Astyanax mexicanus: one gene and its partner. The protein of the gene in region 1 purifies or fractionates together with the protein of each later gene. This does not show direct contact. Links are inferred from orthologs where the notes say so. Each region holds a gene or a part of one and is shown in the gene's direction. Other genes may lie near its edges.

The links.
Region 2: the proteins of dnaaf10 (region 1) and polr2b purify together in Homo sapiens (affinity purification with mass spectrometry; 3 studies listed by BioGRID and IntAct, with this or other methods). This does not show direct contact. The link is inferred for Astyanax mexicanus from reciprocal best matches to the Homo sapiens genes DNAAF10 and POLR2B.

Annotation. Positions count from the first base shown.
Region 1 is NC_064414.1:16,648,831-16,664,326, reverse strand, and holds dnaaf10 (dynein axonemal assembly factor 10), read left to right. Parts: upstream 1-7,545; 5' UTR 7,546-7,798; coding exon 7,799-7,984; intron 7,985-9,143; coding exon 9,144-9,244; intron 9,245-9,335; coding exon 9,336-9,466; intron 9,467-9,570; coding exon 9,571-9,672; intron 9,673-9,783; coding exon 9,784-9,899; intron 9,900-11,495; coding exon 11,496-11,630; intron 11,631-12,111; coding exon 12,112-12,209; intron 12,210-12,352; coding exon 12,353-12,560; 3' UTR 12,561-12,733; downstream 12,734-15,496. Other genes in the region: ppp3r1a (calcineurin subunit B type 1), read left to right, coding at 2,084-2,143, 2,394-2,578, 2,766-2,813; RNA-binding protein PNO1, read right to left, coding at 4,470-4,537, 5,412-5,482, 5,604-5,721, 5,803-5,863, 6,119-6,202, 6,309-6,458, 7,155-7,319; uncharacterized protein LOC103030755, read right to left, coding at 14,294-14,433, 14,554-14,776. UniProt on the Homo sapiens protein: Key assembly factor specifically required for the stability of axonemal dynein heavy chains in cytoplasm.
Region 2 is NC_064426.1:1,737,358-1,752,738, forward strand, and holds the start of polr2b (DNA-directed RNA polymerase II subunit RPB2), read left to right. Parts: upstream 1-7,901; 5' UTR 7,902-8,017; coding exon 8,018-8,036; intron 8,037-8,972; coding exon 8,973-9,045; intron 9,046-9,159; coding exon 9,160-9,310; intron 9,311-9,592; coding exon 9,593-9,705; intron 9,706-10,027; coding exon 10,028-10,247; intron 10,248-11,269; coding exon 11,270-11,428; intron 11,429-11,815; coding exon 11,816-11,980; intron 11,981-12,440; coding exon 12,441-12,637; intron 12,638-13,535; coding exon 13,536-13,655; intron 13,656-13,759; coding exon 13,760-13,946; intron 13,947-14,878; coding exon 14,879-15,022; intron 15,023-15,188; coding exon 15,189-15,328; intron 15,329-15,381. Other genes in the region: noa1 (nitric oxide-associated protein 1), read right to left, coding at 1,609-1,826, 1,977-2,094, 2,615-2,731, 3,051-3,182, 3,273-3,484, 4,204-4,368, 5,452-6,742. UniProt on the Homo sapiens protein: Catalytic core component of RNA polymerase II (Pol II), a DNA-dependent RNA polymerase which synthesizes mRNA precursors and many functional non-coding RNAs using the four ribonucleoside triphosphates as substrates.

The DNA of each region.
Region 1 (15,496 bases):
TGTGTGTTTATCGTCATAAAACAAGCTACGTGGGACAAACTGCTAGCTAATATTGTGCTGGGTTACCGGAACACTCAGAATTACTCAGTGTAGCGCTGTTGGGCGGCATTTACTAGCGCTAAGCACCGCTAACCACAGCAAGTGCTTTTGATAACCATGGCTAGCGCTGGTGCTAACCTAGGCTAGCGCTGGTGCTAACCACACTGTTGAAAATATTGGAAATCTAAGCTTACTGTAAATAAATGGAAGCACTTTACTCACCCAAATAAACAGAGTAGATCTGTGGAGATTTACTTCCAGGGCTCATTTCACTTTGAATATTTTTTTTTTTTTTTTTTTTTTTTTTTTAAGAATTACTGGCATCCCCCCAGCAGCGAGACCTGCTGAGTTAGAAGGGACAACACCCTGTCGACACCCTTGTTCTTTACTATTGTTGTTTATAAGCCGGTGTGCCTTATTTATGGAAATAGACCAGAAAATAGATGTTCATTGATAGTGCGCCTTATAATCTGGTGTGCCTAATAGTGTGAAAAATATGGTATATATCCATTTATCCAGTTATTATATACTAGATAAATAGCACAAGCCTAATATTAGCTTTAGCTTACCAGTCAGTAGGGGTGTGTCAGAATTGAGTGGACGGCTTAGGCAGCACTTCACATCTACAGTGGATAACACTGGTGTGTGAATGGAGAGCAGAGTTATATTAGTGGGAGGAGTGGCCGTTTCATACAGACACAATGCAAGAGAGAAAGACTCCGACCTCTCCATATTTTTTTAATAGAAAAGAGCAGACTGTTTAAAAACGAAAGTCACTAGTTTAAATTAATCAGTAACAAAAACACTTTGGGTCTGAAAGCTCACACTTTGGTACGAACATTGTGCCGTTTTTTTTTTTATCAACAGAAAACTAAATCTAAATCTAATTTGTCAACAAATTATTGACGGTATCTAAGTTATCTTCTGGTGCTCTAAACACAGACAGCTGGAACTGCAGTGCGGTGACTGCTAACAGTGGAGCGGGTGGAGTCTGGTGCTACAGACATGCCCCCCTCTATACAAGCCACACAGGGACAGATCAGGCCCAGGTACTTAAGTATGTAACAGGCCAGAGCACACAGAGGAGGGGTATTATACCAGATTATGCCCTTTTTTTATTAAATCAGTCACTCACAGGAGTTACCATTAAAATGATGAATATTGTCAAATCATTCACCTACAAAACATTGAGTTCTCTGTGTGGTTTTACTGTCAAAAATATTAGTAATTAATTAGTTAATTAGTAAGTAATTAGAGTGTGAGACAAATATGTTGGTCATAAATATAAAAAAAAATGTATATTATTCATAAACTTGTGAGATCCAACACAAATATCACAGACACTACAGACTTCTTCGTATTAAAAAAACAGAAAGCAAAGTTAAACTGTGATATGGTCTGAACAGTGAGAATTGTGATCTGTTACACCACTACTAGTAGGCAACTGCTTCAGTGAGACTACGCCACTCTACAATGTTTTAATAAGATCCAGTGTGGGAAGGTTTAAAAGTGCAGAGAGTAGACCTGTCACAATATTTACATTAATAACTTATCATTCCAGCATTGTTCGGGTCTACAGTCTTGTTTCAGATGTTCTTTCACAGCACTGTGGTCTTGCCCCTGATGGTGGAGAGGTTTGAATGGAAGAGACTGATTCTGTGACAGGGGTCTTTTATACACATAATGAGCTGAGATTTAGAGTACTGTCTTAAAGGGACAGGACTGATTTGTGCCTTGCTGGTTGGTAGGTGATTAAATACGTATTTCACTTAATCATATACAAATTAGTTTATGACCTTTATTGAAAGTTTTTATGTTTTATAGATATTATAATATTATTTTAACAAAGAGTGATAGAATATGTTATTATACTTCATAATGATTACCATGTTATTAACACTTATGTTAACCCTACATCCTAAAATTGTGCTTCTTCTGGATTAGAATGAAACCCAATAAGGAACAGTGAGGGTTTTGCAAATTTGTGCTAAAAAACTTTTTCCACATTTTGTATCTGTAACAGCTTCTTTTCTGTTTTCTCCAGAGTTTATAGAGGGTGTCTCTCAGTTCAGCGTAAAGGGAGATAAGGAACAGAAGCTGCGATGTGAGTCAAACATTCTGAGCTAATGATTGACAGTACTGACAGTAGTTAAGACATTATTAAACATTACTCAATTTTAATGAATTAGAATGTTATAAATTAAAATGAAATAAAAATGTTGTAGTGTTTAATTAAGTCTTGACTTGTCTCGAGTAATATTTAGTTGAGACATTTTGTCATTAGCACTGTTAATTAACTTACTCTTATTGTAATGCGTTACCACTGAATCTAACTCTGTTCTGTGTATCTTCAGTCGCATTCAGGATCTACGACATGGATAAAGACGGTTATATTTCCAATGGGGAATTATTCCAAGTCCTGAAGATGATGGTGGGGAACAACCTGAAGGACACACAGCTGCAGCAGATCGTAGATAAGACCATCATCAACGCAGATAAGGATGGAGATGGGAGAATATCTTTTGAAGAGTTCTGCGCAGTAAGTGTCTATCGTTATAAAGTTGCACGCAGGTGGTGTTAATTTTACTGTTCCTTTAGAGGACTTCTGTGCCGATGCTTTGAATGTTTCAGTTTACAGATAATGATACTGTCTGTAACCAACAGGCTAAACTTCAATTTATCTAGTATCAATAGTAAAATGTTTATACATCATTTTTTTTACTCAGGTTGTCGGCGGTCTCGACATACACAAAAAGATGGTAGTGGACGTGTGAGTGTCCGGCCTGCACTGCCCCCCGCCCCGCGCTTTCCTGTCCACCTCTGATGATCTGCTCAAGATATCCAGCATTGCCCTCTATAATATTTCAACAGAAGTATTTACTCTCTGAGCTACCCCCTTTGCTAATACGAGCCTGGTGAAGTGTTATTGAACTTAAACCCTCTCAATAACCTGGTGTAGCACTTTACTGACTGAAAAACGGCTATGAGTGTCTCTATCTGGAGAAGGGAAGACGGGTTGGCTTGTTCATTTTTTGTTTTGTAATGTTTATTTATTATTTGAAGTATTTATTTTGTCTGTAACTTTTTCTAATCAGCTATTTAACTTGTTTTCAGAGGAGAAAAATAATATTCAGTATCCGTACAGACCTTGGTTATGATGTGCCAATCAGAACATGGAATTGACAAACTTTACGTAAATACTGCCTGTCATTATTATTTTTTGGGCAAACATGTTTGGTGCATTTTTTTTTTTCAAGCCAAAAACATTTTTGTTTTTTATTTTACACATTGTGGTATGCGATATTTATCATTATTGCATTTAATCATGTTCCATGATACCGTTTTCAATTGTGATAGATTGTTTATTTATAAATATTTATATTATTGCAGAGTAACTTGTGTTTAACTCTTGTGAAACAGTCAAACAGAAACAGATGCCAAGAAAACAGCTGTGTTCATAGTTTACCTAAACATCGTCTTCTTTAGGGTCTTTTTAAAACAGGTGCACTGAAATAGTCCTAATATACTATCAGTGAGCATATATCAAATCAATCTACTGCAAAAAACTGGTCATATTAAAAATGATAACTCCATTGTTAATGGTGAATTTAATGTTTAGGTGGGACTGCAATACACTGGAAAGTTTCCGCATGACAAGTTTAGAGTCTGAGGGGAAAGAAGGTTTTCCTCTTTAATCACTCTCTGTATTTCCTTCATCGTTCTTTAACTGCAGCTCTCTGTGCATCTTGAAACCCTTGGAGCTTCTCCAGTGCCTGCATGCACGTTTTCCTTTCTGCATGTTTTCCAATTTACAGCACTCCTACTGTTTACACTTAGATTGTGATGTTAATATCAAATATCTAAGAATCATGGATGTTGCCTATGTTTAGTTAACTCATTTCTTTTAAAATGTTCCTGATTAAATTAGAGTGGCAGGGACCTGACTGGGATTTACTCAGTCAAACAGAAGATCTTACATACTGGTTGTGGTGGGTTTTTTTTTTTTAATATTAAAACATCATTTATATGGGGAAAGTAAACTTCACTCCAGCTTTACTTTGATGGAATGGGAATTTCACCACATTTCAGGTGTGGGATGTTCACTCTGCATGCTGCATTGTATTGCCTACTGTGGGAATACACAGACTTGATACTGTATGAAAATAAATCTTTAAAATATCACATTTCTCACTGAATCTATGAGTTGCCTCTTTTCCAGCGCTATGTGATTTTTATTTATTTTTGATCAATTCTTAAGTGAATATTTACAGAAATTACTGATCCATCAGACAGTCAGAAATGACGGGACAGTTCTTTAGTTCCGGTTGGGTATATTTCAGACCCGTGTTCCTGTGTGTCTAATCTGCCACATTTCTGTATGAGTCCATCAGCTGCACCACAGGTCCCAGATCAGAGAAATCCAGCCAGCGTTAGAATCTCTCAGCTGAACGACTGGCAACCGCTCGGATGTTCCCATACACCTTTGATGGTGGGCTCCCTGATGAGGTGAAAGGAAACATCAATCCAGTTACTAACCATCCATTTCATCACCCAACCTCTTATACACACATACACACACACACACAGCTCAGTGGCCTCCAAACCTCACCCACAGAGCTCCCTTACAGCACGTTACAATTCAAATCCAACACCTTTCTTTTATTTGGGTAAGGTTGGGGTATTAGGTTACGGTTTAAATTATTATTTTTTTGGACATATAAAACAGTATAAAAACATTAAGGTAATCTATGTTGCACCCTTTGCTGACACGGATGTGCTAACACAAACACACAGTGTGTCTAGTCTCTGTAGAGTACTTGATGCTAATAGAATAGGACTAGATAAAACATGATCCTTTTCACCCCATACCTAATGCTACACAGTGGAACTGTGTTCTCTAAAATGATGAAGCTTATGTAGCTAAATGCAATTAACTGCTCAAAGAAATGTTTTAAGTATAAAGTCTTCCCTGCACAGGAGACACAGTTAAGGCTGGTTTATACTTCTGAGTCAAGTCAACGCATTGCCTACAATGTAGTCTGCGTGAGAGCCTGACATAGTGGGCATGTTTATTCTTCTGTATTCATGTGTACACGACTCTGAATCACTCTGCAGTATAAACCATGAAGGCAGGAACACAAAGCTCAGTAGACCAATCACAGCTGCTGCTGCTGCTGTCAGAGTTCTATAGTTACATTTCTGGGGAGGTGTGCGTCGGGTTATGGCGTAGGTTCGATGCAGAATTATAAATTGGAATTTACTCCAACAAAAGCACTTAAAATTATTTAAAATAAATTTAAAAGAAACAGTGAATGTCAGGTGTTCCAATACTCCAGGAGCAGGTTAAAAGCCACCAGCCTGCCTTTACTTACCCAAAATGAGATTGCATATAGCTGTCCGTGCCATTTTTATGTTCTGAAAAGATCCTAATATGTGAACCTTCCTGCAAAAATAAAAGATAAAATGTATTTATTAGCACACATACAAATGAATATTTTTTCTTAAAATAAGCAATTAACTGTTCAATTAAACAAAAAATGAACAAACATTTACAATGCACTCACGTGTCTGCCAGGACTATCCTAGTTTTGGTGACGTTTTCAATAGTGAATTTAGTTTTTCCTCCTTTGCCTGCTATTCTACCAACAGCTCTACAGAGGTGATCTCCTTTCAGAGGCTTAACTAAAATTACACAAATAAAACCACTTTACAAATGAGACATTACGAGGAGTAAATGCACATCAATGCTGAAATTAGACTTACCATCTGTGACATCAAATGTTTCCAAAAACAGTTCATCCAGTCTGATGAGTGCAAGTGCATCCTGAGGAACAGTTCAAAAAATTATTTTTCACAGTAATTCATAAATATACAGTGATGTGAAAAAGTATTTGCCCCGTACAGATGTGTTTTTGGCATCAACAACTGCAATAAAACTGTTTTTTTTATATATTCACTTAGGTTATCTTTTTTCTGAAAAATGTAAGTATGACAAAAAAAGCAAAAACAAGAAATCTATATAGGGCAAATACTTTTTCACTGCACTGTAATCTTCAAAATACTGTGTCTAAATACCCACCTCAACTTGAAATCCCAAAACAAATGCCTTTACAAAGTCTGCTGCTTTCGTGAGCGCACCAATATCTTGTGTTTCCTTGCACGTCTGAAAATGTATAAATAAATACATTTACGAAAAGGAAGAATAATGAAAGAGTTTCACAGTTCCAAGCCCTTTCACAACCACATTTAATGAAATAATTTGTCTTTACCTTAATCTCAACATTTCTTGTTTTGAGATTAAATCTGACTTGAAGTTGCAGGTTCTCAACAATGGGGGTAAATATTTTAAGCCAGTTGTCCTTCAACGGTGTGTAGCGGTGAGAAGGAACAGGTATTTTCCTCATCTCATCAGCACCTCCCTGAAAAACAAACCAGATATGTTTAAGATAACAAAACAACAACAATAAAAACACTTATTTTGTAGTGTTGTAAACTCCTGTACACTAACTCTCTCATTCTGACTGAAGAGATGGAAGTGACGAAATGGCTCTTAGACGAGCTGAGCGAGAATACCAGAGACTCAAACTTATATTAATAGATCATCATCAACAACACTGATAAACACAACCTGATTACAGCTAGCTAAAATGTTGTCTGCTGTATCCATCCTTGTAACGTTACCTAAATATTAGACATTATCTTATTTACACGTGTGAACACCTATGGAACCAGGATTTAAAGCCCACATATTATCGATCTGGACACGTGTGAACGAGCCTGAACAAACAGCGTGTCTCTGACTTCTACTGGATACGTGTGTGCTTGGTTTTATGGGGTAGTGTACACATAACCATTAGGTGTAATAACTTTGTTAGAGCGCTTATATATTTTTTGTTAGGTTAAGTTTTTTTAGTAAACACACTTGCTAACAAGTACCGTGGCTACTGCTCATGCTGAGGATCTGCGCATGCGCAAAACAGCACACGTGTATGGCTTTGCCCTCAGAAACTCTTTGACATTTCTATAAATAAACCCGCAGCTACCGTCGGAGTCAATCCGATTATTAGCCTGGTTATTAACCTGGGTCACAGGACAGAACCCGGTCAGTGTTGTACCTGCAGTAAATCGCCTGATATGGGGGGGAACTGCGGCCTCTTGGGCGCAGCAGGCTCGTCGCTCTCCATGCCCGCGTCCTGCGCCGCTCTCTTCCGCTTCTCCCGCCGCTTCCCCCGGACCTCCTCAAACCCCGGCTCGGGCAGCGTGCTCTCCGCGGTCTCCATGCTGGAGGGTTTGGTGTTTATTCCTCAGATTCAATAAAAACAGGAGAATTAATAACTCCCTGTTTACCTGTAGCACGCGCTCCCTCACTCTACTCACAAGGACCCCGGGCCGAGCTGTCTGAACACGCCGGACTGAATAAAAGCGGGAGCAGCGCGGCGAGGGGAGATAAACACCGAGAGAAATGTGATTAAACTGTGTTTAAGATTGAAATGAAATAGAGTTAGTGTGCTGAGGGCAGGGCTGTCTACGATGTGGTCTGAAAAATAAATATTTGTATGGGCCGGGCGGTCAGGCAGTTCTGTGGACAGCTGCGGTGTTGGTTCAGGGGTCCTCGGTCGGTCAGAGTGCAACACTGAAGCGTTAACGTTAGTTAGTTCAGGTTAGAGTAGAGAACTGAGTTCTGTATAGTGGAGCTCTGTGTGTAGAGCTGTATAAATATATATTTTATATAGTAAAGTTATATAGCGGTAGGAGCGGGATGTCGGCTCCACTGGACAAGCCGCAAGTTGTCTCCCACAGTCAGAAGAGTCTGAATTACTCGCTGTTCGACAGTAAATGGATTCCCTGCAGCGCGAAGTTCGTGTGTTTGGGAAGTTCCTGCAGAGGAACCGGATTAATGCAGATCTACGAGCTGCAGCACGGAGACATAAAGCTCGTTAAAGAGGTGAACTCTAGCTCTTTATCACTGTATCGCTGTAAAAGTGTCTGATTCTCTAGTTTAGAGGGTCTGTAACTCGCTAATGTCTCTGAGATTTCTAGAACAGTCCGGCTGTCGGTTGTCATAGCAACGGGGATTAACAGGGACAGCTCTGATAATATATTTCAGCGTGTTTTTACAGCAGCCACGTCCTCGTGTGATACGAAAACAACACTGAAATATACAACTCTGATGAGTTTCTTTGATTTTACTAAATTTTAGTAAACTTACTATGTAATATAATCAAGAGGAATATGGATGATCACAAGCCATCAAACCAAGCTGAACTTCCTGAATTTTTGCAACAGGAGTGGCATATAGTTATCCAAAATCAGTGAGCAAGACTGGTGGAGGAGAACATGCCAAGATGCATGAAAACTGTGATTAAGTTTTTTTTTTTTTTTTTCATTTTGTTGCAGTAGTGTATTCTTGTAATAATTTTTATAACTCAGTGTTTTGTCATATTGCCAAGAGTATTGTGATCACGAAAATACCATGAAATATTGTGATATTATTTTAGGGCTTCATCAACCACCCATACTCCTTTATTAATCTCTCCACCTCTCTTCACTTCAAATTCTATGATATCTCACTTAGTAGCTCTTTTTGTCATCCAATGCAATCAAATCCTCACAGCATTGCTCCAAATCTAGTAGAAAGTCTTTCCTGGCCAGATGTCACAGTTGCTACAATAAAAGCAGGATAAACTTTTATTTAGAACTTGTATTACCAGAAACAATGAATGCAGCATGTGTCTCGATATTTTAAATATTTATAACTTCCAAGCAGAGATTCTAACAAAACACAATACTGTTCAGAATAAATTTGTCTTTAGCTTTACTTAACACTTATTACTTGATTTTTTTTTTGTTATTTTTGTTGAGTATCCCAGTTTCGGTGCATCCCTACTAACAACGATGGCCGTTGACTGTGTTTGCTTATGTTCCCCACAGTGCTGATCAAAATTCTAGGAAATGTATATATTTAAACATTTGTATGTACTCATGATTTTATGATCTTAAGTTACATTTAATCTAATCCTACATGTAGTGTACTGATCCGCACACATGCTCATGACTGCATTCATTAGCACTGCTTAGTTTTGTGTTCTGTTTCTGTATTTCAGACGGAGAAAACCAAGCCCATAAAATGTGGGACGTTTGGAGCTTCATCTCTCCAGCAGAGGCATTTGGCCACAGGAGACTTTGATGGAAATCTACACGTGTGGTATTAATAATTTTTTTTTCTTAAATTTTTTTCTTTCTAGTATGTTAGAGTTTTTACTAACAGGCTGACTGAAGTATGAATGTTTGTTTAGGAATCTGGAAGCGCCGGATGTCCCGGTTTACTCGGTGAAAGCCCATAAGGAGATAGTGAACGCTGTTGATGGCGTTGGAGGTTTAGGTATTGGAGATGGTGCTCCAGAAATCGTTACAGGAAGCAGAGACGGTATGCGTTACTGCTTTCGAGATGCACACTACAATAGAAAGTTTGCTATTAGGTACGAACAGTAGTTTGTAATCAGGCGTACGTATTTTGACTTGTTTTTGTAGGTACAGTTAAGGTGTGGGACCCGAGACAAAAGGACACACCTGTGGCAAACATGGAGCCAGTCGAAGGAGAAACTAAGAGAGATTGTTGGACAGTTGCTTTTGGTGTGTATTTTACACTATATCCAGTTAATATGTCAAAAGTTTGCCAACAAGCACAAACATGTTTTACTCCATTTAGTTGTAAATCTTTATTTATTTATGTTACATTGAAAGGTCACGCCTTTAATGACCAGGACCGCTGTGTGTGTGCTGGTTACGACAATGGAGACATCAAGCTGTTTGACCTGCGGAATATGTCTGTACGATGGGAGAAAAACATTAAAAATGGCGTATGTGAAATTTTATTTCTTTCTCATTTAAGTGTACGATTTATTAGTTTTAGTTGGAATCATGTCCTCAGGTTTTCTGCAAAACATTTTTCTTTGGTCTTTTTGTCAACCCCAGTGCTCCAGAGTTTATAAGGACAGCATTAAAACCTTTACAATTTGTGATTAGGATTACAGTTTAATACTGCTTTACAAACATCAAATAAATCAGACATCAATGTTGAGGTGTCTTGTGTAAATGTCATGTTTAACATCGAACCACAGATTTTCAGTGCTGTAAATAGGAACTATTCTCTTACATTAGCTGCCACACAATCCCAATGCATAATGTTTTATAATCAAATATTGTTTTTTGTCTTTTCGAACATATATGGAAAAAAAGTATTGCAGTTCCTGCTTCTTCTGAAATAGTGTTTATTCGTAGCATTGCTATGAGGATTTGATTGAGTTTAGTGATGAGCATTAGTGATGTTTGGATGCTGTTTGATCACGGCCACCTTATGCCCAACTCCTCAACTCATCCCATTAAAAAGTGTCATTCCAGCACACTTTCTCTGGGGTCTTTACACTCCTAGCCAGTGGCTGGCAAATGAACCAAAAAGGTTCATATTTATCTGCTCCAGGGAATCCTATTCTATTGGCAGGAACTAGACAAGCTGTGTGTGCACTTGCACAACAATGTCAGCAGAGGTTCTATCTATTAGAAAAAATGTCCACAAACGTATACATTAACCTATAGATTTTCCATGATTTATATATTTACTTTATCAGTCAGCAGCACCTTTAATAAAAAAAGCTGCAGTTTTCTCCACATTATCTAGAATATTTAGATGTTTATATAGAGTTTTGCTCTGTTTAGATCAGGTGAACTTAAATTCTTGCTTCAGCATGTGAAAGATACTGGGTTTTTAGCTCAGTGATTTATGCAGTTGATTTTAACAATTTTGACATTTCTGATGGTAATCAAAGAACATGTTGATATGTATATATTATGGATGCACAACAATATTGGAATTATATTAGTATCGACCAGTGTTTCTAAAATAGTAATTATCATACAGATAGAATTCTGATACGGTTGTGCATCCCTATTATATAGATATAGCAACTTTAAATTTGACTAATTTAAGGTATTTTTTATTTGATTAATTTTACAGTTCTAAAGTTATATAGTTCTAAATTATGACTTCTCTTTGGTACAAATTCCTTTTATTTAGCTTTATTTGTGGTTTATTATTCTCAGTCAGCTGCTTAAGGAATCCTATAAATTTGCTAAGCTCTGGAATCACCTTCAGACAATCCTTGTCTGGTTGAGACTTTACAGCTAAATGTTAACAAGTTAAAGTTAAGTGTCCAAGCAATTTTAGTTTAGCTAATTAACAAAGGTTCTTAGTTTGATCAGGGGCTGAACTGTTTGCCTAGAACCGAATACTTTCAGTCTGTGCTGTAGAATATTACTAATCTATGTATTATAAGTATTATTACATAACATAACAAACATACCAAAAAGTAACCACTAATATGAATGTTGCAGTGTTGTCTCTATAGCTTTTTAAAAGTATGATAATTGTGTGTTTATTTGTATTCTCTCTTTGATAGGTGTGCAGTGTTGAATTTGACAGGAAGGATATCCAAATGAACAAACTGGTGGCAACATCTTTAGAGGGCAAATTCCACGTGTTTGACATGAGAACTGAACACCCAACCAAAGGCTTTGCTTCTGTATCTGAAAAGGTAGTTGAAGTTGACGTGAATGTTGCTGATATAAATGTAGATCTGTGGAGCTTCTGTTTATCTTAGTATTGTTTTTCGCACTATAAGGCTCACTTAAAATCCTTTAATCTACATTGGATGAACCGCTTGCTGATGGCGCCCTGACACTCAGGGTTCCTCTGTGTAGCGCTGTCGGGCGCATTTACTAGTATTTGCTAACCACGACTAGCGCTGCTGCTAACTGCACTGTTAAACATATTGGAAATCAAAGCTTACTGTAAATAAACGGAAGCACTTTACTCACCCAAATAAACAGTTTTCAGGGGAGAAATCTGTGTAGATTAACATGCGACACCCTCGTTTCTTATTTTTGTTGCTTATAATGCCCCCTATAATCTGATGCTTTTGTTGATAGTGCACCTTTTAATCCGGTGCAATTTATAGTGTGAAAAATATGGTATTCCGATTTGTACACGCTCATTTACTCTTTTACATTTTTTAGGCTCATAAGTCTACAGTATGGCAAGTACGGCATTTGCCTCAAAACCGAGACATTTTCATGACAGCAGGTGGAGCAGGAAACCTGCACTTATGGAAATAGTAAGTAAATCATTGCTGGTACCACTATAAAAATCTCACACATTCATAGCAGCCTCTGTGATACTGAAAATCCTGTTTCATAGACAACTAATACATATATGTTTTTAAATGCATGATTTTTATGAATGTTTGTGTTATTGCAGTGAGTATCCAGCGAAGAGGAGTGAGATGGATGGAGATGGAGAGGAGAGAGGAGTGGCTGGGACACTGAACCTCCTGCAAAATGTTACGCTGTCCACGCAGCCCATCTCCAGCCTGGACTGGAGTCCTGATAAACAGGGTCTGTGTGTGTGTTCTTCCTTCGACCAGTGTGTGCGAGTACTCATCGTTACCAAGCTGAACAGAGTGTGAGTCCGTGACTCCAAACCTGTATATATTTCTGCTGTAACTGTATTTTCCACTCAAATATGAACTTTTTAATGAGTATACTCACATACTCAAATACTCTGTTTGGCAGAGCAGTGTCTCTGTGCTGATGTGCTCTTTAATCTGTTTAAATATATTAAATGGTGTTTTATACAGCATTCCTTCCCAGACGTGGACAGCTTTTCTTCACAAACACATTTCTCACTTTTTCACTCAAAGAAAGGAGAGGAGTTTATGGAGCTAGAGAAGAGGAATAGTGAATACACACACTTATATCATTGTTTGATTTTTAACAGGGTTGTTTTAAACAGGGAATGTGCTTTGAGTTTTTGTGTCTGTGCAGTGCAGTGGTGGGAAATCCTTCAGTATTTAAGGTGTTTAGCTCTGTTGCAAAGACACAGCATACCCAGAACCATGAATATGCTGATCAGCAGGTGGAAGCAGGTTAAAGAGGAGAGCAGGAAGTAAGGAGATGTAAGAGCGACTTCAGAGATGAAGGTAAAAAGACTTTAAAAGACTTTGTTAAAGTAAATGGAGAATAAGGCTCAATCCCATTTCTCATTGGTACCCAACCCCTTGTGTTACAAAGAGTTAAAATCCCCAATAGGGTCTCCTGTTTTTATGCTTGTTCTGAGAAATGGCCACAATACTTTAAGCCACATTAAATATAATGGAATGATTATTGTACTTTTTAACAAAGAAAACTCCAGTTATATTTGTGGGTTTGTTTGGTTGCTTGTGCTGTTATGCTACCATGATTTCTCATAGCCCTCTATTTGTAGTGTGCCTCTGAAAAATCACTGTTTGGAGGGTCAGGTAATACTGTACCCTACTGCAATGTTCCAACAAGAATCGGGACACCCTACCCTACAGTTTTTAGGTAGAATGAGATTGGGCCCAAGTGTGAAATACATTTAAAAATAGTTAATACGTTAAAATTGTCAGCAGCTATGCTGGGAACGTAGAGAGGTGAAGGAGCTGAAGCAGAGACAAATCCCAAAACTAGAAATAAAACATTGAACTAGGAAAAAATACTGGAACTGTACAAAAAAACGGCAGAAGGTAGTGAAGGAAGCAGCGCAGCTCAGCGTGTAGATTCTGTAATGCAATAAATAAAACAGAACCAACTGGATGAGTTTTGAGAATCATCAGTAATGGACTTCTGTTGAGTTGCAGCTATAAAGGGGGTTAATAATTAAGTGATCACTTATTTTACTACAATATTATATATATATATATATATATATCACATTAAAATTACTGTTTTACTTTGACATTAAGATGTATTAAGTTTAGAGGTTAGGTTTTATTTTGACCATAGTTCTGCTTGTGGAAGCAATAAAAGGTGAGATATCCAAGTACTTAAATAACTTTAATATTTACTGTATATGACCTGCTTCATAGGATTATACATTTCATACCATATTAGTAAGACAAATAGGTCAGATCTAAATATCTGCATGTTATTTTTATGTAAGCAGTTATCTGCCACTATTGTTGCGTATTGTGCTAAAAAAGGGAAAAAAAAAACAGATGGAGAGAAACCTGAATACTCTAAATATATTCTGACAATTTAAAAAGGAAAAAATAATAAAAATACATTCATGTTTAAAATGTTGTTACATATACCCACACAATATTGACTAATCTGAACACTCTACATATAACTATAGCTGAATGAGTTTGCGGAATAAAAAGTCTTAAGATCATAACTCTGTTCATATCCAACATTTAAACTTAAAAAACTGTTGAAGATCCTCATCGTCCAGTGACTTATGATGAATTCCTGCATAAACATGCTTCAGAAGTTTGGTCTTGAACTTCTTATCCAGTACATCAATGTACTTCTCCAGGCAGCCTTCAAAAAGAGATACAGATATACAGTAATTAATAAAGAGACTCTGAGCAGCAGCACAAACAGACAGCATGATCTAATGATTAAGGTCATGTGAAGGTCATTATGTGTACTGAAACTCACTGAGGCCCATGACCTTCCCGTAGGCGATCAGGTTGGGGAGCAGCTGTGGATGGTCGAACAGCTCCTGCTTCATTAGGATGCGAACAATCTCTCCAGTCAGAAACGCCTCATCAAACGTCTGATCAGTGACGGGTTTAAATGGGAAGTGGCTGTAAACGTCCACCGCAGCCAGAGGGTCACTACTCACCAGCAGGTTCCCCAGCTCAATGTATGCATCATACACCTGAGACACAATAAATACAAACATAAACACCAGCTGTGAACAATAAATGTTAATTGTGGCAGTGGTGCAAGTTTATACAGAGCCTGCCCACTTCGAGTCTCCTCCATTATATCAGAATTACTGCAGACCACCAGAGCCCTCAGTGAATAGAGCTAAACACTAACAATAGTCTAGAATATTGCTAACATTTTTATATTATAATAATTATAATATATTTTGCTAGAAAATCGTACCTATATATTTTACGGGCTTTAGGCAGTAAAGCGCTGCATTCCTGTTACTGCGGCCTGATTGGTTCATGAGCTGAGGTTTCAGATACAGCCAGAGCACAATTCAAAGCTTTTTAACTGAAGTTTAAAAGCTTTATAACTGGAGTTTAAAGGTTTTATAACTCGAATTTAAAAGCTTTATAGCAAGTTAAAAAATATTTATTATAACTAAAGTTTAATGGTTTATAATTGAAGTTTAAAGGTTTATAACATGTAATTTTGTTCTGTGTTTAAACCTAGACAAATCTATGTATAAAATAACCTTTAAAAACTATGATTTTGCTCTATTGCTCCATATAAACCTTTTCATTTTGGACTCGGAAGCGCCCTCTAGTGTCTGACTAGTGTTTTCTCCTCTGTAGATATCCTCTGGTGATACTCTGTTCTCTACCTGCGGTTCAGCCAGTGAGCAGAAGTGTTTTTTTTTTAGTAAAGTACTGTTGTGAATGAA
Region 2 (15,381 bases), on another chromosome or scaffold:
AGTGGTTGAATCTATTGTATTAGCTTTTCATTCTTCTTTATGGTGGGTTGATGCCTCACTTTATGAGGTACTCTATATCGCCCCCTACAGGGCTAGCATGCTTGGAATAAAATCTTAGTTTTTATTAAAAATATCTGGATATGTGTGGGTGAAGCCTCAATTTCACAGTTTGGTCCAAAGATGATTTTATATTCTCATTCATGTGCCTGTTGCGGAAACATACACTGTACATATTACTCAACTGTTTCATTGTCTTCATTGTTTTTCCTCTTTTTTTAGGTTTGTTTTTGTTCATGCGTCTGACAATCATTTTTTTGGTTGTTTTTTTTTGTGTTGATCTTTTTTGTGTTTTTTTTTTTTTTCCTTTTCAGTGTGTGCATGTGTATTTGTTGGTTTGTGTGAGCGTGTCTTCATGAGGTTGAACTTTTAAGGTGGACTTTTCTCCTTTTGCGATTTTTCCTGAAGAGTAATTCAGATCTCAGTGCCACAGGAAGAATTTCCTCGAAATTCATTTTTGTAACTCCAAAGCCGACCCAAGCTGGCATTATGTTGGTTAGACTGGCATTCATCTGTGCCATGTAAAAAAATATATATATATGTACAAAAATGTGTTTGGGGGGAAAAAAAACGTATAAATGGATGCCTTTAGTGAATTCAGTAATAGTGCAATAATGTATATTGGATATCAAACCAAAGCAACCTCTAGGCCCCTCCCCCTGTAACTGGTCATCCACTGGTTAAACAGCTTAAACACCCCCCTAATGTAATGCACTCGTAGACGGTTAGAGGAGTTTCTGTAAATTTGAGTCTGATTTAGTTTATGTTTAATAGAGATTTTACTTACTGACCTTTTCTTTTCTATGGAATCTAAACTGAAATCATATCTCCTTTGTTTTACAGATGTAATCAAAAGAATAAAAAAGTCACTTGTTTTAATATGTGAGGTAGACATTTAGTATCAGCTGTAATGTTTGATCTTTAGAACTGTGATCTATTTCCCACGAGGAAATTAAATTGGCTTTTTACAGGAACGGTTTCGGTTAAGTGTGTTTTGTGCCTTATCACGTGTAAAGAACCAAGATCTGAATAAAAAAATATATTGATTCCTAAATGTGTGCCTTGTTTTCTTGAATTAATGCATATTTTTACTAAATTTGAACATTTAAAAATATATATTTAATTAATTATTCATTTATATGTAATTATTGGTGTCAGAAGTGGATAACTTAGTGCACTAGATAGTGATCTTGTTATATCCCACTGTTCTGATTGGTTAAAAAAAAAGAACTTAAAGATTCATTTTATCAATATTATATATTTTTCTGCTCTAAAATGTTACAGTATGTCAATATATAAACAATATAATATATTGTGATATTAAATCATAATCTCTGTACCGCCAAGTTTTTTTTGCCAATACCCAGCCCTAGTAAATGTGAAGAAACAAAACAAAATTACTTTCTGTAATGATTTATTTAATTGTAATTTATTAACCGTATTAAACATCATTTTTACACTAAAGTATTTAAAGTAATGAGTCAAATATATACATAAAACTGTATCAATGCATAAAGACAGAGTGACCCGTCCAGACTTTCAGATGATTTTTCAGTTTCTCTTCCGTTCCTTCTGTACCGGGAGACTCCTGTTGTTAACAGTCTGGGGTTTCTTGGGTTTGTAGGCGGCAGATTTGCGGATGCGGTCTCCCTTCACATTAACGATGTGAGGAAGCAGCGGCGGCGTCCGTAAACACAGTCCTGCTGCTTTGGGAGCGTGAGCCCGCAACCGCAGACGCTCCCCCTGAGCTGCCGTCACCGAAACCCAACCTGACACAGACCAGAGTTCAGATCAGATTAGAGCTTTCTCTAATATTGTACTAAAATTTTGACCTAATTTAACCTAACAGACTGTGTTTGTCTATTTCCTTTATTTTATATAATCTGGATTTAGTTATTTGAAGTTATCAGGTGATTTACCTGCTGAGGACAGTTTGATGTCCGTCACCGCCGTCTTCACTCCTTGACCCTCCAGTTCAAAGTCTTGAGCTTCAAAAGGAGGAAACTCTTTCATGCGCTCTTTTCCACCCATTGGCACCTGAACAGGAAACAGAGGAGTGTGAACACTTACCTTCAGACCACCACCACCAGCAGATCACCATCAGACAACCATTAACAGACCAACACCTCCAGATTACCACCATCAGACCTCCATTAGACAACAACCAGATCCACCATTAGACCACCACCAGATCACCATTACACCTCCATCAGACCACCACCACCAGCAGATCACCACTAGATCACCATCAGACAACCACCAGACGACCATTACCAGACCAACACTAGACCAACACCTCCAGATCACCACCATTACACCACCATTGGGAACATTGGAAGCTGTTCTTTATATTGAATCAGATTTGCATGAGGAAAGGACCAATAGAAATGCTTCACAATAATTCTATGAACTCTTTTTACACTGATCTCCACTAAAGGTTAAGATGTTTTTCATGTTAGTATAAAGCTGCTGTTTTGGAGATAAAGGGTTTCTGAGGGTCAGCATTGATCTGGTGCTTTATCACACAGATATTAGTATTATTTGAGTTGTAACTCACAGCCAGTAGAGAGTTCCCCGCATGTTTATCGTAGACGGCGTCAGCCTTGTCCAAACTGGTGATGTGCACTGGAATTTGTGAAGAAGCGACGACCGTAAACCAGCACGACTGATTCCCCTGCGGACGGTAAAAGAGATCATTAATGATAATCAGAGATATATAGTGTAAAAGTAAAAGTACTAAAATACGGTATGTGTATCTACTGGAGTATTATTTTTTTACTTTACTACTGTAATGAAGTACTTAAAATACTGTATGTTTATCTACTGTAATATTACTCTTTCTTCACTACTGTACTGAAGTACTAAAATGCTGTATCTGTATCTACTGGAGTATTATTTTTACTTCACTACTGTGCTTAAGTACTAAAATACTGTATCTGTTCTCTATTGGAGTATTTTCTTTTTTTTTTTTCTTCAATACTCTTTATTCCTACCTCCAGGTAATCAATGCGTGCCAGCGCTCCCAGAAACAACACCATGCCAGGCTTCAGCAGAAACGTCCTCGGGGTGATGGCGTGTGTGGGCGACACTATCTTCACCTCCTGTTCGTTTAGCACACTGAGAACCTGAAGAAAACCCAAAAACATCGTCCCATTTCCACACTTCTGTTCCAAATTACCTTCAACTCATACACAACCTCTTACATCATCACTCACATCGTACTCCTTCATAATGCCGGGGGTATCGTAGAACCAGTGGGCGTCTTTAATCTCGTTATAGGGCAGCTCAGTCTCCACAGTGTCCGTGTCCTCGCGCGGTTTCCCTACGCTGTCCTCAGTAAGGTCCTCTCCGAAGCTGAGACTGTCCGGGTCGAACTCCACCAACTTCTTCTTGGACTGATCCACTCGGAACGTCCGACCGACCCGACCTGCAATCAGATCTCTGATTTATATAAAGCTACTGATATTTCTATTTGGGGTTAATTGGACCCCAGAATTTTAAACCTTCAGAAAATTATTAGAAATACATTTTTACAGATTATGTCATGTTATATGTGTTTGTTGACTTATTATAATTATTATTATATTCTTTACAAAAGACCTCCCTGTTAAAACATCTGGTTTTAAAATGTTCTTGACCCCAAAGAACATTGATGCCTACAACAGATAATAAGAGGGTATAAATACTGTGTTTATTAAAGAGAGTTTGTCGATTTCCTAGACTCAAATCAGGAATAACCCTGGACTATATCCTGTTTATTTTACAGCGAAAAAAAAGAAAGTTAAATCCATGTCCTCATGTGATTCTTTGAGCAATGCCAATGAAAAATCACTTTTATTTTTGATAATATATAGAATTATAACCTTTTATTATTTGAATTTTCTCTAGGTGGCTTAAAAGAGCGCCATTAAGAAGCAGATAGACTTCATGCTAAAGTACAGCTTTTAAACATGGTGGAGGTAGTTTCATACACTCTTACTGTAAGTAAGACCCCCAAAGTAAAGTACAGCTTTTAAACATGGTGGAGGTAGTTTTACACACTGATAAAGATCAGGGTTCTATTCAGTACAATAAAGTTAAAGCTAAACTCTAAGTACCTCTACTCTATTGTTGTAGCATAAAGGTTACAGCAGGTTCTCTACTCACCGACCAGGTACCCCTGCCTGCTGAACTGCCTGATCCTCTTCAGCTCCTCCGGGCTGAGGTCCTCCTCCGTCTCCTGGGCCGCGAGGCGCAGACGCTCCGCCCGCCGGAACAGCCGGTACGGTGTTGGATTGATGATGGGAAACTTCAGCAGGTTCAGTGTTGTTCCTTCATAAACAAGGATGAAAACAGAGTGTGTTCTATAATAAGTGTATAGTTCTATAATTACAGATACTACATAAATACTGTATCTACTGGAGTATTATTTTTACTACTTCACTACTGTACTTGGGTACTAAAATCCTGTATCTATATCTACTGAAGTATTATTTTTACTTTACTACCATACTGAAGTACTAAAATACTGTATCTGTATCTACTGGAGTATTATTTTTACTTCATTACTGTACTTTAGTACTAAAATACTGTATCTGTATCTACTGAAGTATTATTTTTACTTTACTACCATACTGAAGTACTAAAATACTGTATCTGTATCTACTGAAGTATTATTTTTACTTTACTACCATACTGAAGTACTAAAATGCTGTATCTGTATCTACTGGAGTATTATTTTTACTTCATTACTGTACTTTAGTACTAAAATGATGTATCTGTATCTACTGAAGTATTATTTTTACTACTTCACTACTGTACTTGGGTACTAAAATCCTGTATCTGTATCTACTGAAGTATTATTTTTACTTCACTACTGTACTGAAGTACTAAAATGCTGTATCTGTATCTACTGGAGATTTTCAGTATTTTAGTACTACATTTTACAACAAACTACTTGCAATACTTGAGTACAGAAAACGTTAAATACTTTAGTACTTCCACTTAAGTGTAAAGCTTAAAAAACACTTCTACTTAATTCACTTTTTTGACCGAGCACTTTTCGTTTTACTCAAGTCAAGGTCTCTAGTAATAATTCAGCACATAAAAAAACGATTAAAAAATAAACTCATCTAAAATATGCAATGAAGTATCATTAGAGTACAGATACAGTATTTTAGTACTTAAGTAGTGAAGTAATAAATAATACTTCAATAGATACAGATACAGTGTTTTGGTACCTAATTACTTAAGAAGTGAAGTAAAAATAATACTCTAGTAGATATAGATACAGTATTTTAGTACTTAAGTACAGTAGTGAAGTATTTCTTCATCTCAACTACACATTTTTGGTCAGAATGTTATGGTGAGTGTGTGTGTATATCTTCGAGAGAATATATATATAATATATATTACCTGGCCATGGAGAAATGGTGGCTTTGTGGATCACGTCTGAGGCTCTGGACTTGCAGTAGTCAGACTCCAGCAGGGTGTTGAACAGCGTAGACTTGCCAGCGTTGGCGGTGCCAACCAGATACACATCCCCCTTATACTTCCAGGACATCTGCAGCCTGGTGATCAGGTTCTCTATGCCGTACCCAGTCTTAGCACTGATGAGATGGATGTCTTTTTGGTCAGTGATGGCTACACCTGCGTCTGCACAATACTGCGCCAGCTGCCCTCTGATCCTCTTCAGGTAGTTATCTGTGTCTCCAGGCAGCAGGTCCACTTTGTTCCCCAAAATCACCACATGCTTGTTTTGGCCCACGAGTTGCGGCAGGTCTGGGACGATGGAGTCTGGGAGATCCAGAAGATCCACGATGAGCAGCACCAGCGCTTTCTGAGACTTTATTTTACCGACTATTTTCCTGTATTCCTCTTTGGACATTGTGACATTCAGAGCTTTCTGGTGGTGGACGAGTAGGAAGCAGCGCTGGCACACCGCCTGCTTTAAGGAGTCCTCCTCGATCAGCTGTTTGAACTTCTCGCTGGGGAGGTACCCAGGTACTTCAGGGATGGTACAGTGCATCAGGGCACCACAGCCGGTGCAGCAGGAGTCACTTACTGGAACTTCTGCGTCCGGCGTACCGTAGACTTTATGCTCTTGCTTCTTTTTCAATTTCTTCTTATTAGATGACTTTTCCAGTGGAAATCCCTCGTCGTGGAACTCAATGGACGCCTCTTGGTCCACCTCCTTGGTGGCAACATCTCTCAACGACTTCAATTGAAGCTCCAAGGCCTTGTGCCGCAGCTCTGCGCTGGTAATCTTGGGCGCTTTGTCCTCTTTGACCTTCATGGACTCAGTTACGCGAAGATGCTCTGGAACATCTTCTTGTTCTTGGTCCTGAACATCAGAAAACTCAAGAAAAGCAAACTCCTCCTCTTTATCTGGCTCTACAGAGGAGTACACTGCTTTGGTCTGATTAGGATGTAGAGTGGAAGATAATGAAGATGATCCTGATAATGACTGAAGTCTTTCTTTATGTATTTCAGTTCTTTCAGAGTCTTTTAAAGTCACTGTCACAGTGGTGTGAAATCTTAATCTTAAGCATTTAGTCCTGTCAACTGAAACACAGCTGTTTCTGCTACTTTGAGACAGAAGACCCGAGTAAAGGTGACACCATCTTCTGTTTTCTAGCTCTGACACACGTTTTAAACATTTAAGAGACGAAAACTGAACCGCAGATAGCTGTAATAATTTAAACATCGTGATAACATAAGCAATATATATCAATAAACCGATATAAACATTTATACATTACAAAAAGAAATCTCAGATCAACTCACGAACACACGTGAACACAGACAGGAGGAGTGTTTTCGTCTGTCGCTGGTAAAAGACGTCATCAGTGTTGTGTCGATTTCTGCTACCTGGTCAAAACTTGTTGCCGTGCTGTGTATTTTGTAATAATTGGGATAGCAAACGAGATTTGAACAACGATGCTTTCAGTAAAAGTATAGAAAAAATATTTGTTTAATTTATTATGATAAAAAACAACATATAAATATGTAAAAGCGTGTCAAATTGTGTGCGTAGAACGACTGAGACCATATATAGCTCAATAGCACAAATCGACAGAGCACCGGATGCTAATATAATGACACTTACGCTATTTTCTAAAAAAAAAAGAAGAAGAAGAAAAGTATTTAATCGCCAAACTGTTTTATTATGTTTTAAAATAAAGTATACATATACAATACAATAAAAAACTAGTAATAGTAATAATTAATCAACGTGTCTTTTTTTACTTTACTGGATTGTGTAATATATTGTAAATAACTGACATAATACATGAATTCAAATCTTGCATTAAGAATAAACAAGTACGATTTGATTTTTTACATTCAAAATAACTAATTATAAAATATTTATATAAATAAAATGTTGTAAAATAATATATGAATGTTTTTTTATTTTATTGGATTGTGTAATATATTGTGTACAATTGATATAGTGCACTAATACAATACAATATGTAACACTAGCTTAACTCATTATCATTAGTTATTATGAAAAGAGAGAAAGAGTAAAAATATTTTTTGTTAATTTATTTTCTAAACAATCTATCATAGATGTTAAAAAATGCCGTATTTTTGGGGTTATTAACATTTTTTTAGGAGTTTTTTTATTGATATATTTTACTTAAGTAACGAAAAAATATATATTATTTAAGATTTTTCCATTTTCAGTATAATACTTTGCAGTAAACAAAAATACATAAGATTTGTTTATTTTTTATTAGTCAAAGTGACACATATGATTAAATAATTATATAATTGTAATTAAAACTCACACAAATCAATTAAAACCTTATTCCTAGTAAAAGCAAGAGATCACATATATGAACGTACAATTCGGTCGCGAGCACCAGAAGTGACGCCACGCGCGCGCCGGCGGCTCGGTGAACAGATACAGCGCGTTTTAACGGGACGTTTTTGTGTTTGTTTACCGTAAACAAGGCTGTAAACAACAGTAAACATCATGTATGATCAGGATGAAGGTTTGTTTAAAGCGCTGGAAGCTTAAATACTCTGTTCTGCTTCGTAATTCGGTTTAATGTGCTGTAAACTGCGCGTTAACACAACGTAGTTAGCATGTTAGCTTAGCAGCTCTTTATAGACAACAGACTATTCTCTCATTTAAGACTCAAAATACTGGGATTTCTGCTTTATTTCAGTAATAAATGCAGTTTATTTTTCGATAATCACTCTTTAAATTATATCAGCGGGTGATTTTAAGCTTTGTTTGTACTAGAATATATAATAAAAAAGCGTATCTAGTTAAATAAATAAAGTTTAGGTAGCTAGCTGTTAGCTAACCTAGGCAAGTGTTTCAGAAGTTTGTAGGAATGTTGTGGGCATATTTTCACGTGTTTTTTTTTTATATTATTCATACTGATTATAGGACGGTTATCAGTACGTAATATATATATATAGTAATAAAAGTTATGTCTTGTTATTGATTGCATTTTACCAATATGATTTATTTCAGTAAAATAAAAAATATATCTCTGTTTCAGTTAGATTCTTGTAGTTACTTGTTTGCACTCAGTTTACATGTTGACTGCATTCTGAATTGACCAATCGTATGCTCAAATAAACCTAATATATAATATATACAGCTCTAGAAAAAAAGGTTTGTTGGTTAATTTTTAATTCACACAAATTATTAAGGTTTTCTACTGGCTGTTCCTATATCTGCAGCACTTGAAATGTTTTAAAAATTAGAAACTGTTTTGCTATTATCTATAGGTAAAGATATAAAGTTTCTCATCTCCTGTTTGGGTGGGTAAGATCATAGCCTAAGCTGAGCTATAGCTACCTCTGGCCTTGATTAAACCAGATTTATTTGCTGCTGTTGATGCACTGAGAATCTGATAGTCTGCTGAAAATGTAGTTTAGTCTCTGAGAATAAACCTCTCCCTTTCTTTCTCCAGATATCCAGTATGATGAAGATGATGATGAAATCACCCCAGATCTGTGGCAGGAAGCCTGCTGGATTGTTATCAGGTAGATAATGTTGCTGCTTTAATACATTGAACTCTGTTATTTAAGCATTTTGTTCTAAATCAAATGTCCACTGGCCAGATGTTAAAAATATGCTTTCTCTTCTTTATTCTCCAGCTCCTACTTTGATGAGAAGGGCCTGGTGCGACAGCAGCTGGACTCATTTGATGAGTTTATTCAGATGTCTGTTCAGAGGATCGTGGAGGATGCTCCACCCATAGACCTACAGGCTGAAGCTCAGCACACCTCCGGAGAGGTGGAGGAACCGGTAAGTTAATGCCGAATGTGATTGCACATATCTAGCATCTGTTATTATAATAACAATAATATAATAATTATTAATATTATTTTATATCGCCCACCCCTAACGTCAGCTTTGTTTAAATAGTGTTTTTTTCCAGTGATTTTGTACAATAGGTTATCAAAAAAAGTTAATTGTGACAGGCCTAAACTCTGTTTTTATTCATCAATAAAACATAAAATGCTGTTTGTGAAAGTTTTTTTTTTAATGTGATTTTTTTTTTTTTTTTTTTTTTTTTTTTTTTTGTAGCCTCGGTATCTGCTGAAGTTTGAGCAGATCTATTTGTCCAAACCAACACACTGGGAAAGAGATGGAGCTCCATCACCCATGATGCCCAATGAGGCCAGACTCCGAAACCTCACGTGAGTACAACAGCCTTTGGGGGGCGTGTGCAGGTGTGATGGATCATAGTATAAACCAATAAACCAATAGGGAGTCGGAATGGTATATGTTTAGACTTCTCTTCATCCAATCACAATCAGATTCACTCTATCTGGATGGAGAGATTTATCTGGATAGGGGTTTTCTTGAACGATGAGAAGCCGGAATGAAAACCAGCTGAAACTAAATAGGTTGTTTTTATTAAAATGTAAGGAGTAGAAAGTTCAGATAATTATGTGAAAATGTAAGAATAAGATGTTAAAAGTTGTGTGATTTATTGTGTAAAATGCTCTGCTGGTTCAGGTACTCGGCTCCTCTGTACGTGGACATCACCAAGACCATCATAAAGGAGGGAGAGGAGCAGCTTCAGACGCAGCACCAGAAAACCTTCATCGGCAAAATTCCCATCATGCTCCGCTCCACCTACTGTCTCCTCAGCGGCCTGACGGACCGTGATCTCTGTGAGCTGAACGAGTGTCCCCTGGACCCGGGGGGCTACTTCATCATCAACGGCTCCGAGAAGGTCAGGATCTGATAGCTGATTTCATCTTATTATAAATACCACTTTATCATCGTTTATAAATGTTTCATATACTCTCTTTTTGCTCTATTTAAACGTTTAGATTAGATATTTTGAAGACAAAATCCAGGTTAGGTTGCAGATAAATGCCTAATGTGATTTAAATATGGAAGTTACCCGTGCCTTCCCAGCTTTAAAGAAATAGAAAAATAAATTATATTTTATTTACTGTAATGATTAACAGTGCTTTTAGTGGACTTGTTTGTGGCTGGCAAAAAAAAAAAAAAAAATTTGATGAAAACGTTCATTGCTTTTTTTTTATTGTAATTTGTTTAAAATTTCTTTTTTTTTTATTTATACTTTCAGTTACTTTAAGCACGTTATTGACTTATCATACAATAAATGGACATGACCTCAATAATATTTGAGAATTGTGGTAATTAATCATAATGTTGACTTTAAAAGGGTATGCATGCTTTGTTTTGCTTTTTTGTAATCATTAAATCAGTGCAATTTATTGGTCTTTAATATGCACAGTAAAATTGTTTCACAGTAAACCACAAAATATTGTTATTTTGACAGGTCTAGTTCTAGGGCTTGGTGATTTATTTAAATTGCATTTTTACTGATATATTTGTTTTTTAAAGAATTGTGAAAACAGTAATTGAGATAATCGAGATTAAAATATGCCATTTGATTTTTCTTGTTAAAAATCCAGTGCATATCTTGTTTTAATCTGTGTGATTTTGCTGCATTGACTTTTTATATTGTATTTTGTGTATTGATTTTATCTTTTTAACTTCAATTTAGTGCATGATTACAGTCGATGAGTATTGACAAAAATAATTAGGATTTAGTTAATTAGTTTTTTTGCTCATGACCGTATTCAGTAGTACTACAGTAATTCAGAAATTATTAAATCATTAATACGATACTTTAAATGTGTGTAGCCTGTCCTGCATCATTTGTACCAGATATTGCATGATTTCCTGAATATAATATAATGCTGATGTCTGTATTTGCAGGTTCTTATCGCTCAGGAGAAGATGGCCACTAACACGGTGTATGTGTTTGCAAAAAAGGACTCTAAGTATGCGTACACGGCCGAGTGCAGGTCCTGCCTGGAGAACTCCTCCAGACCCACCAGCTCCATCTGGGTCAGCATGATGGCCAGAGGAGGACAGGTCAGAACACACCTTTACACCTTTATACAATTACACACTATATTACCTCTCTACTCTCTACTGTTCTTGAGTTAATCTGAAGCTACATGAAGTTTGAGGTGTGTGTAGTGATATCTGAAGCCAGCATGCTTAGCTGCTGCTTTTATTATACACCTGTGGACACAGAGCAATATTAAATAATATGAAATAATTAAAACTAGGGCTGTGCCGTATCGTGTTGTACGCATTAATATCCCCAACATTTTTAAAATATTGTGAACGATATTATACCATGAAATATAAATATCCTGATTAATCACATCAGGGTACTACTCTTTTGCTTTTTATTGCACAGTCAGTGTTATTTTAACACTGTATATTTGATTTTTCTGTTTTTTTTTTTTTCAGGGAGTGAAGAAGAGCGCTATCGGTCAGAGAATTGTCTCTACGCTGCCGTACATCAGACAGGAAGTGCCCATCATCATCGTGTTCAGAGCTCTGGGATTTGTGTCCGACAGGGACATCCTGGAGCACATCATCTACGACTTTGATGACCCAGAGATGATGGAGATGGTAATTACCTGCTTTAAAACACTTAAATCAAATCAGCAATGCCTGGGACTGGGGATTATTCAGATTCAGCATAAAATATTATTTTTTTCCCTTAATATTTCCCTTAACTATCCCTCAAAGATGTAGTTTTAGAAAAATATTTGGAACAAAATTGTCTAAGAGCTTTCTAAAGGTACATAATTGGATCATCCCTTAGATATCAATTTCTTCTAAAGTAATCCCTTGAAAGCAAATTAAGTGTTGTGTGCAGTCACTTAATGGTTTAATGGTCCCTTAGAACAAAACCTTTAACTTTTAACACTATACAAAAAAAGCCTGATCATGGCTGAAGAGAATTCTCAGTGCTACACTCAAATTCTGACAAAGGTTAAAGGGAAACTTAATGTGAAGCGTTCTTTTGTTGCACGTGTGTTCGTTACAAAACTGACTCTCTCTTTTCTCTCTCTCTGCATCTCCACAGGTGAAGCCGTCTCTGGACGAGGCCTTCGTGATCCAGGAGCAGAACGTAGCTCTGAACTTCATCGGATCCAGAGGAGCCAAACCTGGAGTCACCAAGGAGAGGAGGATTAAATACGCTAAAGAGGTTCTGCAGAAAGAGGTTCTGCCCCATGTGGGAGTTTCTGACTTCTGTGAGACAAAGAAAGCCTACTTTTTAGGGTGAGTATTTCAGTAAAATTAGCACTGTCCTAGAAATAATCAAGATACACAATATTAATATAATTTATTGCCATTTATTAATGGTTTTATTTAAGACCATTTTATAACACTGATTTAATGATCTAATAATAGCACAACAATGCAGTTAATCTTTTTAAATCTTTTTTAAAGAGGTTTTACAGAAGTTTAAAATATCCAGACATTGGTACTTGACTATATAAAATATTTATGTATTCTAATGAAATAAAACAAATGCAAAAAAAGCACTGTTTGTGTAGAAAACCGAAATATCTGCTCATTCACGTTTAATAATTGTATTATTATCGTTATTGACATCCAGACAACATTAGAGTCAGAAAAGATCTTGAAAAAGACTTTACGTTTAGTTTATTTAACATTTTAAGTGTGAGATATACATTTAATAAAAATGAGAAAATGAGAGATGTATATTTTAAACACTCTAGCAGGCTATAGAAACGTTAAGATAAAAAGAAAAAGTTTTTATTAATTTACTGCGAATTTACTGTGAATCTCACCTGTGGCTCCAACATGCATCCAGTTTAATGGTGTTTTACTGCCATGGCTTTGGTTGGTATACATACTGTACTTATGTGTTATAATAATGTAGACCCAGCTAATCCATTATTAAATAAGTTGCTAACTATATTTATAACTGATTAATCTATAAGTCGATTAGTTGTTGCAGCTCTGTTCACATTAATAGGCTTTCCACAATAATAAAAAATAATCGCCAATGTCAAGAACAGCAGAAGTGATTGAGGGTCTGTCTGTATGTTAAACGATAGTTCTGTAGTTATCATAACAGCATATACCAGATATGTGTATATTTACACTGATGTTTCTGTTTGTTCTTTGTTTCCTGTACTTTATTCTGTAGTTATATGGTGCACAGACTGCTGCTGGCAGCTCTGGGCAGAAGAGAGCTGGATGACAGAGATCATTACGGAAACAAAAGGCTGGACCTGGCCGGCCCTCTGCTGGCCTTCCTCTTCAGAGGGTGAGAAGATTGAGTATTATTAACCATTACTAAAAGAGACTTTGAGAAGAAATTGAGTATGAAAAGTTGAATTAAACTCTGTCTAACTCTCGTCTCCTCTCCAGAATGTTTAAGAACCTGCTGAAGGAGATCAGGATCTACGCACAGAAGTTTATCGACCGGGGGAAGGACTTTAACCTGGAGCTGGCCATCAAAACCCGCATCATCTCTGATGGGCTGAAGTATTCTCTGGCCACGGGCAACTGGGGCGATGTCAAAAAGGCTCACCAGGCCAGAGCTGGAGTGTCTCAGGTACACTACATCATTATAAATGAACAGTGAAGTGATTCAAACAAATCAGAATACTCTGTGATTTAAGCATTTAGGTGCTCTTATCTGGGGAGCTGTTCATTTGTGGTTTCTGAGGCTGGAAACTCTGAGGCTGGTAAACTTATCCTGTACAACAGAGGAAAATTTTGCTCTTCCTTTTATTGAGGCGACCCTGATGAGTGCCAGTTTCTTCATCATAATGTTTTTGATGGTCTTTGTGGTGACTGCACTTGTGGATACTTTGAAAGTTGAAAGTTCTTGAAAATCTTCTTCTCAGATTGACTTACCCTCATTTCTTAAACTTAAACTCTTGACGAGTTCAGCACCGCTGTTAACTGAAAGCCTACCTCATAAAGCTGACTGAGCAGCATTTCAAATTCAGCAGAGATACGCAAAACTGATCATCTTAGCAATAGGTGATAGTTTGAAGGATGTAAAATATAACACACATTCTCTTTTAACACTTTTTTTTTTTGCTGAATTTTTACATATGGTTTTCTCCATAGTTTGGATGATTTTAGTATACATCTAAAATGCAGAACATTTTAAAATAACTAAAAAAATGGTACTGGTACTATATATTGTACATTTACTTTTTAAGGGAAAAAAAGAAAAGAAGTAGAGATATTAGGGTTTTAGTTATTTTTATTTATGCCAATATACTTTCTATCTGATCCATTGAAATAAATGTCCTTTATATAATTATTAAATGGTTGCAGGTTTTATAATATACTTTTTATTATTATAATTTCTAGGGTTATACAGCTCACAATAGCAATGAGAGCATCAGGTTTGCAATACATTTTTAGCAGTGTTTAAAATAAAGCATAAATGCTGTAAAGCATTAATAGTAACACAACATTAGTATAAATCTATTTATTTATTATGTAATTTTATGAATAATGTCTCTACAGGTGTTGAACAGACTGACGTTCGCCTCTACGTTATCACACTTGCGGCGTGTAAACTCTCCCATCGGCCGAGACGGAAAGCTGGCCAAACCCAGGCAACTCCACAACACACTGTGGGGCATGGTGTGCCCCGCCGAGACCCCAGAGGTACAGCTAGCAATTAACTTTTTAGATTATACCACAGTTATCTGCTATGTGATTGGCTGAGGGGCGTTCTATGAGTACCATTATCAGCCGGTAATGCACTGTAACCGAAGCTCTCCATGCATTCTTGTTAATATAATTATTAATAATAATATTTTGTTTGATGCAGGGTCACGCTGTAGGTCTGGTGAAGAACCTTGCACTCATGGCCTACATCTCTGTCGGGTCTCAACCTTCCCCCATCCTGGAGTTCTTGGAGGAGTGGAGCATGGAGAACCTGGAGGAAATCTCACCTGCAGCCATTGCAGAGTCAGTGCACTTATTGTCCAATAGGGGGCAGCACCTTATGAAAGCTTAAAGTA